Oryzias latipes: one gene and its partner. The protein of the gene in region 2 interacts with the protein of the main gene of each other region in a pairwise test. Links are inferred from orthologs where the notes say so. Each region holds a gene or a part of one and is shown on either strand. Other genes may lie near its edges.

Evidence for each region. The genes of interacting proteins can lie anywhere in the genome.
Region 1: the proteins of c17h1orf35 (region 2) and srrm4 interact in binary tests that used the Homo sapiens proteins (3 or more experiments, as listed by UniProt). The link is inferred for Oryzias latipes from reciprocal best matches to the Homo sapiens genes C1orf35 and SRRM4.

What each region holds. Positions count from the first base shown.
Region 1 is NC_019867.2:3,739,026-3,745,883, forward strand, and holds part of srrm4 (serine/arginine repetitive matrix protein 4), read left to right. Parts: intron 1-3,315; coding exon 3,316-3,450; intron 3,451-6,858. UniProt on the Homo sapiens protein: Splicing factor specifically required for neural cell differentiation.
Region 2 is NC_019875.2:27,888,661-27,897,524, reverse strand, and holds the start of c17h1orf35 (multiple myeloma tumor-associated protein 2), read right to left. Parts: upstream 5,659-8,864; 5' UTR 5,204-5,658; coding exon 5,107-5,203; intron 4,989-5,106; coding exon of another isoform or gene 4,967-4,988; exon of another isoform or gene 4,667-4,966; intron 4,022-4,666; exon of another isoform or gene 3,988-4,021; coding exon 3,837-3,987; intron 3,746-3,836; coding exon 3,700-3,745; intron 3,624-3,699; coding exon 3,541-3,623; intron 3,172-3,540; coding exon 3,099-3,171; intron 2,774-3,098; coding exon 2,697-2,773; intron 2,585-2,696; coding exon 2,465-2,584; intron 185-2,464; coding exon 1-184. Other genes in the region: guanylate kinase, read left to right, coding at 5,766-5,799, 8,048-8,161.

The DNA.
Region 1 (6,858 bases), on a different chromosome or scaffold from region 2:
TATAGAAAAACAGCAAAAACAAATTCAAAAGTTTTTTATTGATGCTTTAGTTTATTCTGAGAAAAATATTCCAACTTGATTTGGACCTCTGTGAAAACCTATTTACACCATAAATCTAAAATGTCTTGGTGGATGTGAAAGGATTATTGGCAGAATCGTCTATTCAAATACATGACGGAGGCGTAAATTTCAGGTCATGACAAAGCATTTCTCTGCATTTGCATCAATAAAAAGCCTTTTGTTCATTTCTTTCACTGACCCTGGAAATGTGTTCTGCCTTCAGACAGGATGGAGGTGTCACTGTGTTTGAAAGGATATGACGACTGCTGTTCGACAGAACAGCTCGGAACGTTTTTTCCACGAGAGCAGCTTACCACGAAAAAGCAGATTTAATTTAGAAGTCATCAACCGACCTGTCGTGAAGTGACACAAAAGAGACGGAAGAAAAGGAAAACTTGAAGGAGGAAAGATCCTCTGGGAACTCCGCAGAGCAAATGTTCTTCATTATTTCTTTTCTTCACAACTGATATTATTAAATCATCATAAACTTCTATTTCAGTTTGAGATCAGCTGTCTGAAGTGTCCTCACTCCATGGTTTGTTGGTGGGAAAAACAACACAAGTTGTTGCGGCACTTGTGTCTGCTGGTTATATTGACCGGGTAGATGATGGTGAATGAAGTGGAAGGAAAATTTCCCGCATGATTTGTCTCAGATGTCGTCGACATTCCATTCATTTAGCAACGTTTTGGGGTTTCTGGGCTGCAGATTAATGGAGGCGATTGTGTTTGTTTGCAGAGATGTTTCCAACATCTCTGCAAACAAACTCCAAAATGAGGGTCGGATGACGGTCCGGACCACAAAGTCTTTCCCTTTTAGGAGCAATGTGCTTTTTTCTGGTACAGACTATTGATATTGTCAAAGAAAATTCAGTCAACTTAACAGCTCATACTTTAAATGTTGTCTTTTTTTCAACAAAAAAGAGTTCATAACAGCCCCGAAAAAGATGCCTTTCTTTGTTTATTTGATCAGTCAAAGCTGTTATTATTCTGTCCCTGGACTGCAATTGTCTTCTTTTTTCTTACCGCACATTTTAGCAAACAATTCGCCCCACCACAAACCCAAAAACTCACCAAAATGTACATGCACCTAGTATCTGGTGAAAATAAATTTTTGAGTAGATGCTAAGAAATGTGATCAAATTTTTATGGATTTCATCAAACCGACTTTGATCAAACTTTCTTACTTTATTCGTCCAGCTTCAACCGGAGGATGAATTTGTCCAAAATTAAGCCGATTTAAAGATTACATCCCCATCATCCTGCTTGATCAGACCAATCATGCTTCTGTCTCCTCCTCCCAGAAGACCTTTCCCACGCTCAGTCATGTCGGAGTGCGCCGTCGCTCGTTTGACAATATTAGATCCCTGTCAGGAGCACTTCCTCTTACAGCACAAAAAAGCCCAGGTGAAGAATATAGAAGGCGACGGCTCCTGCCTGCTTTCAGTGCAGGAGGAGGTGTTGATGGAGTAGTCTCTGCTGATTATCATCTCATTACAATCAGCCACTGGATGATGAGGAGAATGTGTAATTATGCTCAAATCTCTCCTGACTAAAGCGCAGAATAATAAGCAGGGCTGGAGCTGTTTGCCCACATCAAATCACAGTTTAATAAGCTATTGGTGGATGAAGGTTTCTTGGAGGTTCAGGTGATCCGCCCTTCTTCTGGTGACGGTGGAGGCAGATCATTTGTAAAGAATCAAAGGTATAGCCTTGTCTGAGTTGAGAGTTATATCACAAACACTGAACAATACGTCAACAACGCGATCATGAACACTGCTGGCACCAACATGATTGTTTTCCATAGCAACGATTGCTCTTTAAAGTTTAGATTGAAGGAAAATCTCCTTTCATATGAAACTGGTGCAGAAATGTTGGTGTGGACATGACCTTGGACTTCTTGGCGCCATCTGATTGTAAAGTATGGCATCACACAATTACTGCAACAAAACATTTTGGCTTTGCCCAAACAAATTCCCTTCCTGCGCACTACTTGGTACACTCTACGGGGCATTCGCCGGTTTGATCGGGTGTCTGAACCAGACACTTGCTTGCTCTATTCTTATCAGAGATATGAATCATTTTGGGACATCAGAAACATTTACTGTATGGTTCTTTTGTGGTGACTTGGCAAAGACTATTGCTAATCTGATATCTCACTAAACTATACAAAGTGTTGCATAATGGGGCAAAGACGCTTCAAGTTGATTGCATAAGCACTCACTTCTGTAAAGTGTTGCCTATCAGTGCAAAACTGCTTTTGTCCGCTTCGGAATCTGTTGGAATTAGGTTCATTGCATTGATGGTTGAAGAGTTTTGGTGGTCAACAAAGTGTCAACGCTTCAGCTTGTGGTGTTTACACCGGACAAGCAGGCAGCGGCAGCCAGGGGCATCTTTTCCTTTTTTGTTTTTCTACTGTTTAGTAGCGCGCGAAGAGGCATTGGAGTGAAATGTGGAAGCGGTACAAATCCCGTGACTCTTGCTCCAGGCTTTTTCTTTTACAGCCCTATTTGAATATATGTAAGACATAATATAACATAAACTGCTGTTATTAATTTCTCCTTCATGATCCCTTTTTCAACCGGTTGGCACTTCCGTGTATCGGATCAGGGACCAGATCAGAGTCCCTGATTGATCAAAGTTCAGCTGTTTGATGTTGGTTGAACTTCCAGCGTGCCTTCAGTAAACGCCGGTTTGTAAGTAGAGAGCCAGAGAACGGACTTAAAAACTTGCGTAGCGACGTGTGAATGAGAACATTTTATATGTAAAGGTCAGAAACGTGAGTTTACAGCAGCTGGTATGAATGTAGCTTTACATGGTGAACAGAGGAGTAACGCTAAAAGGGGTGCACATGTTTTCTACTACACATTTAAAAGCTGTTAACGCTGTTGCTGTGGCAGCCTGTAGGAGGAGCTACAGGCAGTGGTAGAGCTTTATTGTTAATTGAGTCTTCTTCATTACCATGTATGTATGAAACCTGGGGGAAACTTAGTGTGTGCTTCTAAACTGCACAACAATACAAAAGGCCATTAGCTTGACTGTCGGGGCAGCTGAGGCGTGCTAATAACAATATTTTAGTTGACATGATGGTTTGAGCGCTTCCAGTTTCCCTGGAAAACGGCTGGCAGGATGAAATGGAGGGAAAATAAAACAGACCATGTGAGCTCTAACCATGCCCCCCCCCCCCAATCCCTGATGGAAGTGTAAACTGTGAAGGTCTCAACTCTAAACAGGGCTTTTCTTTCTTTTGGCTCACAGATCAGAAACAACTGCCTGTCACCCGCTGAAGACCAACGATGGGGACTCAGCCAATGCGTGGGCGGCCAGCAGGGACCGCAGAGGCTGCATGAAGAAGAGTCGCCGAAAACACCGCAGCCACCGCAGAACCAGGAAGTAAGCCCGCCTTTTCCCTTCCAAACAAAGAGAGGGTTTTCCCGCGCTAATAATAGAGAACTGTCTAACATGCAGTGACGATCTGAGCCTGGCTTTTCCAGCGACAGAGGGGTTTGTTTGTGCAGATCACAGTTTATGATAAAACCCATCATCGGGATGCCTTCAGGGCCACAGCCCCGCTGAGGAAACATGATATCTGCATTCTGATGCTTGGAAGTAAACAGTCTTACCACGTCAGGCCTGGAGGAGAAGCGCAGAGATGCTATGAGGAGTTCCTCACCACGACGTCTCCTTCTCCTGTCAGAAACCTCGTTCAGTTTCTTTGTGTCTCTGAGTTATTTTATTGAGAACCTGTTGTTTTTTTTAGTTATCAACAGAAAAGATTTTTCTCAATTCATTCATTTATTTCAAAACATATTCTCATTCTAGACAACAGGGGGAGCTTTAATTTTTTTTCACTTTTTAAAAATTAAATTTGGTTTAAAAAAAAGAAATATTTAGATTAAAAAAAACATTTGAATTTGTGGAAATGTTTATATACAGTAAATATAATTTTTCTACAAAAGAATAAAAATCAACCCTATTTCTTTTTTCCGTTTTGGCTTTCTATTTTGTCAAATATCTGCAAATGTAATCTGGTTTTTATTGTGGAATTAAATTCACACTATTTTAGAAGTACTGATGATTGCTGATAGTTTTTTTTTTTTTTTAGTATCCGACGTTTTTTTAAACACTGCATTAAAAACAGGATTTTTGTACTGCAGCAAAACAAAACAAGAAAAAAACAAACAAACATGTTGCCGTTACAAAAAGAAAAGTTGATTAAAAGTCCCATTCTTGTAAAGGAAGCCATATTTTTTATTTTTTGGAGTTATTTAGAAAAACATACCTTTACAAAAGACCTTTATCTATGTTTTCTCCTTAAGGCTTAATATTTCCTGCGAGAATTTTTAACCTTTTGAAACACAACTAATTATGCAGTAAATAAAGACCTCAAAAACTATTTCTGCAGATTTTACAGTTTAGATCTGAGATCTTTATCAGCTTTGGGCATTCAAAAAATGTTTTACTTCACTTTTTTTCTGGTAAAACCACAAATAATTAAAATAATTAACTTTACTGAAATAAAAACTTTTTATGTGCAAATAAGAAGTGAAGTCTTATTAGTGAGGATGTAACATTGATTTTTTTATTTATTTCTTTTTTATATATTAATCTGCTTAAAAAAAATCAATCAAAGCAAAGGGAATGTTACACCAAACACTGAGGTGATAAAACTGCTTGAAAATTAAATCTACAGGTAATAAAAGCTCAATGACTATAGATGAGATGAAATATGTACAATTTATTGATGAAATTACCCAAACATTTATGATATGACAGTCTGTTTTTATTGTTTCTATTACTTTTGTAACTTCAGAAGATAAAATGTCAATTGCTGCTTTTTCTGTTGACCAGACTTTATGGTTTTAATGGGAAAAGTTGTTGTGCTGAAGGTCTGCAGTCAAAACATCCTTCAGAAATCTTCCCTATCATTTCTAGAACCAACGAGCTGATCTTCTTCACCGCCCATCTTCTTCAAGGTTTCAACCTTTTTTCAAACATCCATGACTTAAACGCATTTCAGACTTTTCTCCATGTTTCACATGGAACTGAAGAATAATCAGGAGGGAAAAAACTTTTTTGTTTGTTTTCTTTTGAAAGCCAAATGGTCCCTCACAAAGATCCCTGAAAAATCAAGGAAACAGTTTTGTTTTGTTTTGTTTCTTGCAAGAAAAATAATCTTATGATTTTCAATAATAATATAATGTTAGTTTAAGGAAACATGTCTCTGTGGCTAGAATTTATTTCTTAAAATAAGAATACTTCATTAGACCATTTTTCTGACCCCTCTGTCAGATTTTTTTTTTTTAGCTCATTAGAAGAAATTGTGCCAATTGGGTAAAAAACTTTTGACTGTTTTTGCAATGTACAGACCACAGTGACCTATAGGATGAAGCTAGAAACCTAAACTGACGGTAAACAAAGCCTGGACAGCAATGTGAGCACTTCCTGTAAAGCGTGGACTGATGCAGCTCTGACCAGCGACCTCTGCCTCAACGCTCATCTCCGCTCCAACTCAGTAGTTCAGTCAGATCGGCAGTGACAGCCTTTCATCAAACGTGTTTGTTCAGATCCTCCATGGATAACAAGCTCATTCTTACTAAGTTCTTCAAAGTGCTGCTGGGAAATTTTTGTTCTTTGAATTTTTTTGCTAATTGGGCAGCAAAAGAAAAGAAATCAAACGTAACTAAAATGCAGGGTTCGTCTTGACTTTTGGAAAGTATTTTTATTGAATGAGAAAAAAGGGAAGCATCAGAAGGAAAATCAGCTTTTGTTGAATCTGGAAAACAGATGCACAAATCCACAAAACGAGAAATGAAATCAGAGGATGGTTTCCATAGGAGGTCTCCAAATCCTGTTTTGCTCTCTATTGTTTCAGAAAATTACCCATTTAGTCAGAAATCCTTCATTCTCCCTTTCATCCACTCGGCTTTATCAAGAGAACCGAAAAGAAACTGCTGGCACACTGAAATGTAGATGCTCTTTTTCTCTCAGCGAGGCCAGAGCGGTGGAGATGCTAATGAGTGACAAAGCGTTCTCATTATCAGGAGAGGGTACTTGGGTTTGCTCCGTCTAATCAGTCTAATGCATTTTGGTCCTTAATGCTCCTAAACTACACCAAGCCGAGCCGTTCATTACAGCCAGACGTCTCCAGAGCTCCAACTAGCAAACTTCTGCATCAGCCCAAATCACACTGACCCGGGCGTCAGACCTTCTGAGGGATGTGGGTCATTAGTGTGGATTCTGCTATCAATGCAGACAAAGAACTTTTAGTATGAGTGGAAAAAAAAGATTTGAGGCTTTACTCTAAATGTGTTTGCCATAATTATCACAAACATGAGGCAACCGTCTGACTTCCAGATGGAAGCACAGTCAAAATGAAAGTAACTGGAGCCAGGTCAGTTCACTAACTAACCCCTAGGAGGCTAGTTAATCAATGCAGCCACATTCCCTTTAATGATCCAACTTTTTTTTTTTTTTTTTTTTTTTTTTTTACCTTGTCCTGTCCAACAGCTGGGCAAACAGATGAGAGCTGAGGGCCTCTTGTGTTGGACATATTTTACTTTAACAAGAGGGGTTATTAATCTTCAGACAAACCAAAGGTATGTCTGAATAAACCCCTTTTGTAATTGAGGCCAGACTTTATTAATTTCAAACATGTTTGAAGATCTTTGGTGTTGGACCGGACGGAAAAGGAAAGAGGGGAAGAAGAGAGAGGGACGTTAGAAAGAGGGGGGGAAGGAGGGTGATAGTAGGAGGGGAAGGGGGATAAGACCATGAAGCAGCATAGAGCAACAAGTTTAC
Region 2 (8,864 bases):
GGGGTTACTGCGAGCAGGGGACCCCCCATCAGAGGAGTCTGTGTCGTGTCGCTTATGCCGACGATGGGGGTGGGAAGGCTGTTGCTCGGCCTTTGCACCCCCCCTTGAATGGCTGTCACGGGGTTTGGCTCCACTCTGACTGCGGTATGATGGATTATGATGATGGTGGTGGTCCTTTCTCTGTCTGAAAATCAAAAGGAGGCAAACAATCAATAAGTGGTGTGTGGTGAAGCAGCTCCCTTTATAAGGCTCCAAAAGAAAAGAATGGAAAAGGGAAAACGCTAATATGTTATGTTGACAGTGCTGTAAATAAAACTTTAAATTATTAAGGTTTATGCATGCTCCTCATCCACAGGATAAAGCCAGAATTTCAAAATGCTTGCTTTCTAAATTGAAAGTCTTAACACTGATAAAGATTAGTGTTTGAGCTCCCTCTAGTGTTAGCATGCAGTTTTGCAATAAGCATAAGAACATGGTTAGAGCTCAATGGAAAGATGGGGTTTTGAGGGGAATGGAAATGTAATAATCAAAAAAGAAAATCATTAATACTTTTTGTATCCTTCAAAATAAAAGCTGCAGGTAGACTGATTTTTTTTTGATTGATTTGGCTTATTTCAAACAAGTGTAATTATCAGAAACAGGAAAAAGAAAAAAATAAATTAAGTTAAGATGAAGTTAAAACAAGTTAAGATATTAATTCGCAAAATGATTTAAAAAAAAAATGAGAAAATTATTCGTAATCATAGACAGTTATACATGCATAACACACATTACACATTAAATCTTTTAAACATAATGATTGACAGAGTTTAATTGTTTAAGGGGAGTGGGGAAAAAGCCAATTTATATAGTCCCTTAAACATAGTTGCCATAATCCTGTTCTTAGCATTTCAAAGTTATTTTTGTTGTATCCGTCCAAGTACAGAATATTTCTCAGGCAAAAAGATAAAGTGTTTTTTCTATTATCAATATTATTGAACCATTACATTGAGATTGAGATTAAATGATTTTCTGGGCCACAGTGGAATATTCACCCACTCCAGCAGCATTATATGTATCCTCACAAACCTCCACTTCTGATGTGTTTAACACTCATCCTGCATGTTTACCATAAAGCACAGTTCAACTCATTCCGATGAAGCCATTTTTAGCCAAATCAAAAAAACCTGTCTCGTTTTCTAGGACATAGTTTCTGCAGAGCGGTGTAGGTACTGTAACCATTCGGCCTGCAATAACCGTTTGGGGTCCATTTGACTGAGGATAACGTCACACTACGGTAACCCCACTTGGACAAACTACGTAGCGTTTTAGTTCACATTTCCTTTTGTAACATAAAGTTCTTTTCCTTCATAAGTAGTGTCTGACATTCTTTGTAGTGTTTCTAGAGAGATTTGGCCACAACCCACTTTATAAAAAGATCTGTGGCTGTTAGAATGAACCGGCTGCTCCACACATGCAAACCGTTTCTCTGAGCAGAGCAGCCGGAGTCTCGTAGCTTTGTGTTTGCAAGCAGGGAAAGGTTCGGAACGCTGTCCGTTCGGCTGCAAATGCACTTAATGATAATCATAACAATAATAAAAGCACGTTCAGAAGATTATCTTACTCCATGACGTAGCTCTGTTTACAACAGAAATATCTTCTTCTATGGTAGTATCGTAATTTGTCCAGACCAATCACCATCTGACACGTCATCAGACCAACGGACAGCCAATCACATAAGGTGACGTCAGCACATTAAGAACGGTTGTTGCAGACCGAATGGTTATGGAAACCTACAGCGGAAGGGTTTTCCACAGAAATTGGCCTTTGCCTTGCAGGTGGGCCAGTGGGGGTACGCCAGTGCTGATTTCCCATCATCCCTTTGTTTACACTCTCCACAGCTAGCTTACAGCTCTCACAACCCCAAGATAACATTAGCAGTGCAACAGAAATGGCGAGCCATATTGGAGCTGGCCATACGTACAGTTTGGATCCAGATTACAGCTCAGACGTGGAAAACTGAGACGTTCATGGATCTATTTGTCAGCATCTGAATGGAGCGGAGCAGGGAGCTTGTGGCTCGCCGACTGTAGTTTCTATCAAACTACAAGCTTTCTCCAAGCTTTAAGATAAATTTTCTTTCTATATGTCCTCCATCATGAGAAAAATGCTACAAGAACATGTTAAAAACACCGAAAACATCATTTTCATTGGATTGAATATATAAGTATTGTGCGTTGAAATGCTAATATTTACAGCTGAAAGAATGCTGTTCTCCTTTTTAAAGATTGTATTCTTAAAAACGTGTTAGCGCCTATTTTTGACTTGTATAACACACTTTGTTGTCAGGTAGATAGATATACATAGAAGTGTGCAAATGGAAATGTAGTCATGGTGTCTTCAGTGAAAATCTGTCCCTGTTATAAACTCATTTTTATGACATTTTTTTAAAATTCTACAGTTTTGAATGAAGACTTTGACAAACCTTTTGCAGTCGTCGTTTGACTCTGAAGAGGAAGAATCCTGTCTTTGTCTTTTCTTCTTCTTCTTCTCCTTTTTTGCCTTTTTGCTCTTTTTCTCTTTTTTCTTCTTTTTACTTTCACGTCTAAATATTAAAGACACAGTAAGTAGATTTTTATTCATTTACTCCTCCCCTTACATACCGTTGGATAAGAGACTGTACATTGTAAAGGTCATTAAATAAACGCTTTTCTCACCGGACTTCAGTTTCTTGTTTCACTGAACTCTGTGTTGTTGTTGCTGATGTTTCTTGGCCTCCTTCAGTCTTATGATGCTGAAACGTCAGCAAGAATTTTATTTTTCTAGATTAGAGTATTTCTTAGGGTTAAGTATAAAAAAATTACAATATATATATAAAAAAAACAAATTTGTAAGTTTAAGTGATTCATATTTAATCATATAGTCCTGAATCGACTCATTCTTTTTGCCATACTCAACCCTCGTCAATATTGCTAAATAACTAATGCTAATAAAGTCAATAGTTAAAAAATTAAAAATCAAACACATATTTACTACTAATTTTTGACAATTAAAAAATGCTGTTTTAATACAATAATGTTTCCAAATGGCAGTATGGATGATGTAGAAAGACGACTTACTGTAAAAATTTGCAGACCCATTTTAGCCGCCTCCTTTTCCTTTTGGGACAGCACCATTTTTCGTGACCCTGCACTTTAGAGGGAAATAAAGATGGAGTCAACTTAAACAAACCACAGACAGCCAGTCACCTTATCTCCTCTGAACAGAAGGTTGAATTCTGCCAAACCTAAAACTGCAAAGAAAAGTCATGAAATATCCAAGAATATTATTCACCAGCAACCTGATTAACAAATCATTTGACTCATTTTAGTGTATAAACTAGAAAAAAAAAAACTATTAACAAACTCCCATTTGTCATTTGGACAATTAAACATAACTTCTGTACATTTGTTCAAGCAAATTGCATTTATAATAAGAAAAAGAAAAGTTGAAATTTTCCTAAAGCAAACATTTTGCATAAAAAAAATCTGTTTTATGACACAGACAAGAAGATAATCTCACCTTGAGCTTCCTAAACCTGAGATACGATCCACATCCTTCTCTTCACCATCAACCTCTTCTCTCCGGCATACCTCTACAAGATCCTGAAAAAAAAAATCAAATTCAACTTACAGGACTTGACAGCAATTTTTCCAATATTGACCAGCAACGTATCCATACCTCTTTAGTAAGCCCTGTTGGTTGTCTCTTTATATTCTTATGGCCTCTAAGTTCAGAACAAGAAACGCAAAGCATCACTTTTTGTGTCCTAATCTTCAAGAAGGTACAGGAAATGGCTTATGGGAAGTCGCACGTACAGGGCAGCCATCAGTGCCTCCTCCTCTGCAGCTCTGACTGCAGCAAGCTCCTCTTCTTTGGACAAAGGAGCACCACCTTTCTTGTCCTTTGCATACCAGGTCAGATCTTTCCCTTTCTGCCATCGTCCTACGGGAGCCATCAAGGAGTTTCCTGGAAAAAACGCAGAAGAGGTCAAACTATTTAGGTAAAGGTTCTTCTTTAAATTCTACATTTCAAATGCCACAAATTCAGAATACAAAATGTATTATGCAGGATTGTTATACTTTATATTTAGACTTTTTCTTTTATCTAGATGTTTTAATGTTTTGCACCAAATAATCATTTCAATAAATCTATTTGACTTTTAAAGATGATCATGGTTACACACATTTAAATGAAAATATTAGCAGTCCAGACTTCTCCAGTAGATGTATCCTTTTGCATTTTCCCCCATAAAGGTTCAAGTGTAAGAATCAAATTAGAATAGAATAGAATAGAATAGAATGGCTTTATTGTCATTGTGCATAGTACAATGAGATTTAAGCATCACCATCAGTGCAAGAACAGTAAGGAAGGGAAAAGTAGTAAAGATAACATTGTAATATAATAAAATCAAACAAGCAAACAAACAAACAGTATATACAAGTGTGCAATATAAGCTGTAAAATTGATATCAGATCAATGTTTTAAACTTCCTCCAGCTGAGTAAACTTTGTCTTTTAGAATATCTCATTATAGACAAGTGCAGTCTTGTTGTTAGACTGTTTTTTTAATTCCAAGTATTTAGGCAATCCACACATAAGGCAACAGTCTCCTGCCATGTTAAGGGTGGGTGTTTTGAGCCTCATTTCTGTTTGACTTTGCACCTGAAAGGTTGTGGTTTTAGCTCATATTTTACACAGACAACATTCAGAAATCTAAGCAGCTATGAGAGCTTGTCGATTTGCTTTTGTTACATGTTTCTCGGTCCCGACTACTGTGGTGATCACTACGTAGCTCTCTCTGGGCATGCTGACCCGCTGGCAGCGGCGAGGGCACAGAGACAACGAACGTGTCGACCAGAGGAGGCATTGACAGCACGTTTTTGCTTTCTTTACGGAGATTAATCGGGATTGATATCAAGCTATTAGATCAAGCCAAGCCTTGTGTAATGAGGAATTCAATAACAAAAGGTAGGAAAACAACCTAATTTTAGGGGGGCCACACGGGGTTTAAAAGCATCTGGAGCTAATCTTTCCTGGATGTGTGGCACGCGCTGATAGCGTAATCGACTGCACGTTATGGACTTACCGAGATAATTCTCTCTGTGTTTATCGACCTTCACTTCATCCCAGTTGAACTGGTCTTGGCCTCCACGGATGCCTCCGGATCTCGATGAACCAAACATCTTCAAAAGGGCAAAAAAGTGGAGATTCGGGGGGGAAAAGTAACACTTAGCTAGCTAGCTAGCAGCTACGTTGGTTAGCAGAGCTGCGTGGTCGGTGCGGGCCGTTAGCGTGGACTCATCCAGGAAGTTTAGATTCCCAGTTTCCACGAAAGAAACCCACACGGCTGCGTTTGTTTCGACAGCAACTTCCAAACAAACAAACAACCCAACAACGCGACAAAGAGCAGAGCGTTAAAGCTGGACTCTCGCGCGCGCAGCTTAAAGTTGCAAAGACCCAACAAACAATTTTTTTATTTAAGTAAAAAATTTAAAACGGTAGATTTGTAATCCTCAGCAATAAAGATCTGACTACTGCAAATAGAAGCAATACAACTTTTTTCCCGACTAACGAGCATTTCCTGCTCCTTTTGTTTATTTCATTTGGTCGCGTCCAGTGGCGCGCGCGGACGTAACGTGTTTGGGTACGTAGTGATGACGTAGGCGTCTCGCGGTGAGGAAAAGGGCGGCGGAGGCAGAAAATGCTCCGAGGACCGTCTGCAGAATCAGAAAAACCTGCCTCCCGATGTACATGAGACATTTTATCAGACTGTTTTCAGGTAGGAATGAGGATTTTTGACTTCCTTTCCTCCTTCTGCTGTTCTGTTCTCTTTTTCCCATCTCTGTGTCGGAACCACTATTCATTCCTGGAGACACTTTGTTGTCACGGAGCTACAGGAAAAGATGGTGCCCAAGAAGTCAACCGGTGTTTTATTTTATTTCAGGATGCATATAAATCCTAGATGGATGATACAACTTTTGATAGTAGCATAAAAACGTCCAGTATCATCTATTTTGTTTAATGTCAACTTAAATTAGGAAACCCTTTGTAAAATGTAATTTGGGAGAAAAATTACATCACTAACAAAATTGTCTTTCTTTTTTCTTCTTCTTTTTTAAAAATATTTATAAGATATCCAGTTTGCTTATTCATGCAAATTAATGCATTTTCTACCATTTGTCACTAAAAATGTGCATTTTGAAGAATTAGAATATAAGCTTATATCTGTGAGATGTTACATACCTTGCAATATTAAAAAAAAAACAAAAAAAAACATTTAAGTTGGAACCAATTTTTTAGGTTTTGGTTTACTGAAAAGTCTGATAATCTGTTGAGCATTTTTAAATGGTATTTATTCGGAGCAAAACAACATTGGTGCAGTTTGACACAACAGACATTTAACATATTATATTTTTAACCAACCAGTGAGATACTAAAGAAATAAATTAACAGAAAACCGTCAAACCCAAGAGATAAAATCAGTTTATTACTTTGCCACAATAATATCTACATTCAAGTAAACAGGACATCTGTAATGCAATACATGTGTATTTTCTGTGTGTTTTCTTAAGGATAATCAATTGATCTTCTCTTAGAACATGTACTTAACATTGATTGATAACATCTCATTTTAATCAATTTTATATAAAAAACAAACATTTTCTGTCAATTTTTTACGTAAAATGTTCTCATTGAATTAATGAAAGTTGTGTTTTGATTTGGTTAAATCACTAGTTATGTGTTAACAGTGTTTAACCAAACTGTCATGTAAACTGAAATGTAGATTAAAAAAATGTCCAATAGAATTTGACAGTGACGCTCAGCCTTTCTGGTTCACGGAGCCGCTAGTGCTTTGTAGGCTTCACGTGATTTTTATTTGGTTGTAAATCTGATCACATGATTCTCTGTGCGTTCATCATGAGAGTCAGTCTGTGCTGATCGTAGCTTCACATGTTTCTCATTTCCTGTCAGCCTCTTCTAAGTAGGAAAGGTTTTTTTTTTTGGAAAACAGTTTGAGGGAAATCAGAAGCTAATCTTTCTAATTGACAACTTAAGTTTAGAGAAATAAATGGTCTTGAGCAGAACTAGGTCTTAACTATGCACCAAATATATATATATTTTCATCTTAATTGGATGCAACCATTGATCATCGACTGTAGATTCTGTATTTTGTGGTTAAATATATATAAATAATTATTGGGATTTTTTTTTCCTGGGCTTCTCTTGTGTTAAAAACTTGGTTCGCTAAATGTGACCTGAAAACAACACAATTGAGTCATTTGACACTAGATTTAAACCTACATTTCTTTATTTTTCAGTCCACGACTGGAACTGTTGAAGCTTGAATAAATCAAATTGCAGTAAAACGTAGGGCACCTGTGCTTTCATTTGTTTAAACTGTTTCTGTCGGGAAACTAAAAGGATGTTTTATGACTAAAGGACTAAAGCAGAGTTTAAGTCTTTTTTTTTAATGTTAATGATGAAAAGGGCTTTACCTGCTGAGCAGGTTCCGCATATCTATTTAAAAACATTGACGCAGCAGCTTTTTACGCAGTTGCTGTAGTGTTTACAATAGGAAAAAAAAGAAACAGAAAGCTGAAGCTGACGTGGAAGAGGCAGCCCCACCCTGTCAGTGACCCTCCCATCCTGACTCAATATAAGTCCGCCCGTTCATTTCCCTCCGTCTGCTCAAGTGCTGCGTGATTTCAGGAAAGGTGAAAAGGTAAAGTAGAGTTTGTGGGGCTTTTTTTTTTTTGTTGTTGACAATATTTGACAAAACAGACATGATAAAACAAAAAGATCAGAGGATTTTCTTTTCTAGCTTTTGAGGTTTGTTCTCTCGACTCTTGTTGTAAAGATATGATGTCAATATTTGTTGAGTTTCTTATTCTATTTAAAAAAAAATACATGGAGATAAAGATGACGATCGTTAGGCCGGTTTGGCCGGTTTCTCTGGCTGGAACCTCGGATTGTCTGGAAAGAATGAAAAGAATTCAGCGGTTTGTGTTTTATTCCTTCTCCTGCAGCTATGGCTGGACCCAGGCCCCTGGTGTTTAGTGGCCCGTCGGGGGCGGGAAAGAGCACCCTGCTGAAGAAGCTCATGGGCGAATACGACAGTGTGTTTGGCTTCAGCGTGTCCCGTAAGTCCTGTCATTTACCATCAGGCTTTTAGCCGGTCAACAGTAAAGCTAATTTATATAAGATTAGAGCCTATCAGGCTATTTTCCATCTTTAGTCCCCATAGAACAGGTTGATGGTCCCTAAGGAACACGACAAGTTCAGCCAACAAAGAAAAGACAACAGAAGGCAGACAAGAGCAGAAACAGAAACAATACACACAAACTCATAAACATAGACGCAACAATAGGGGGGAAAAAGTAGACAGAGAACTAAAAAACAAAAACAGATAAAGCTAGAAGGAGCTGCATTTCTAGAAGAAAATGCAGAGTTTAATGCTGAATGAAAATGAAACTTAAAGGGTAATAATTGGCAAAAAAAATAATTTTTTTTTAAAGAGAAATGATCAAAGTTGACCATAAATAAAGTGAGAACAACACAATAACAAAAATATATTTCTGTGAATAATGCGAGCTCCGGGTATCGAACCAGCGAGCTCCTACACAGAAAGAAGCAAAGGATTCCCCGTGTTTTTCAATGGAGGCAAAAACCCTTGAAAAGTTCAAGGATTTGAAGGACCAAAAGTCACAGCTGGAAAAAGCTGAACGAGCTGAACGTTTTAATAGTTGAATGGATAACATAGCTGAAAAACTATAGAGGGAGTGAAGCACCAAAAAATGGCAGAAGATACGATTATAAAGAAAGAGAACCAGGAAAACAATGGGG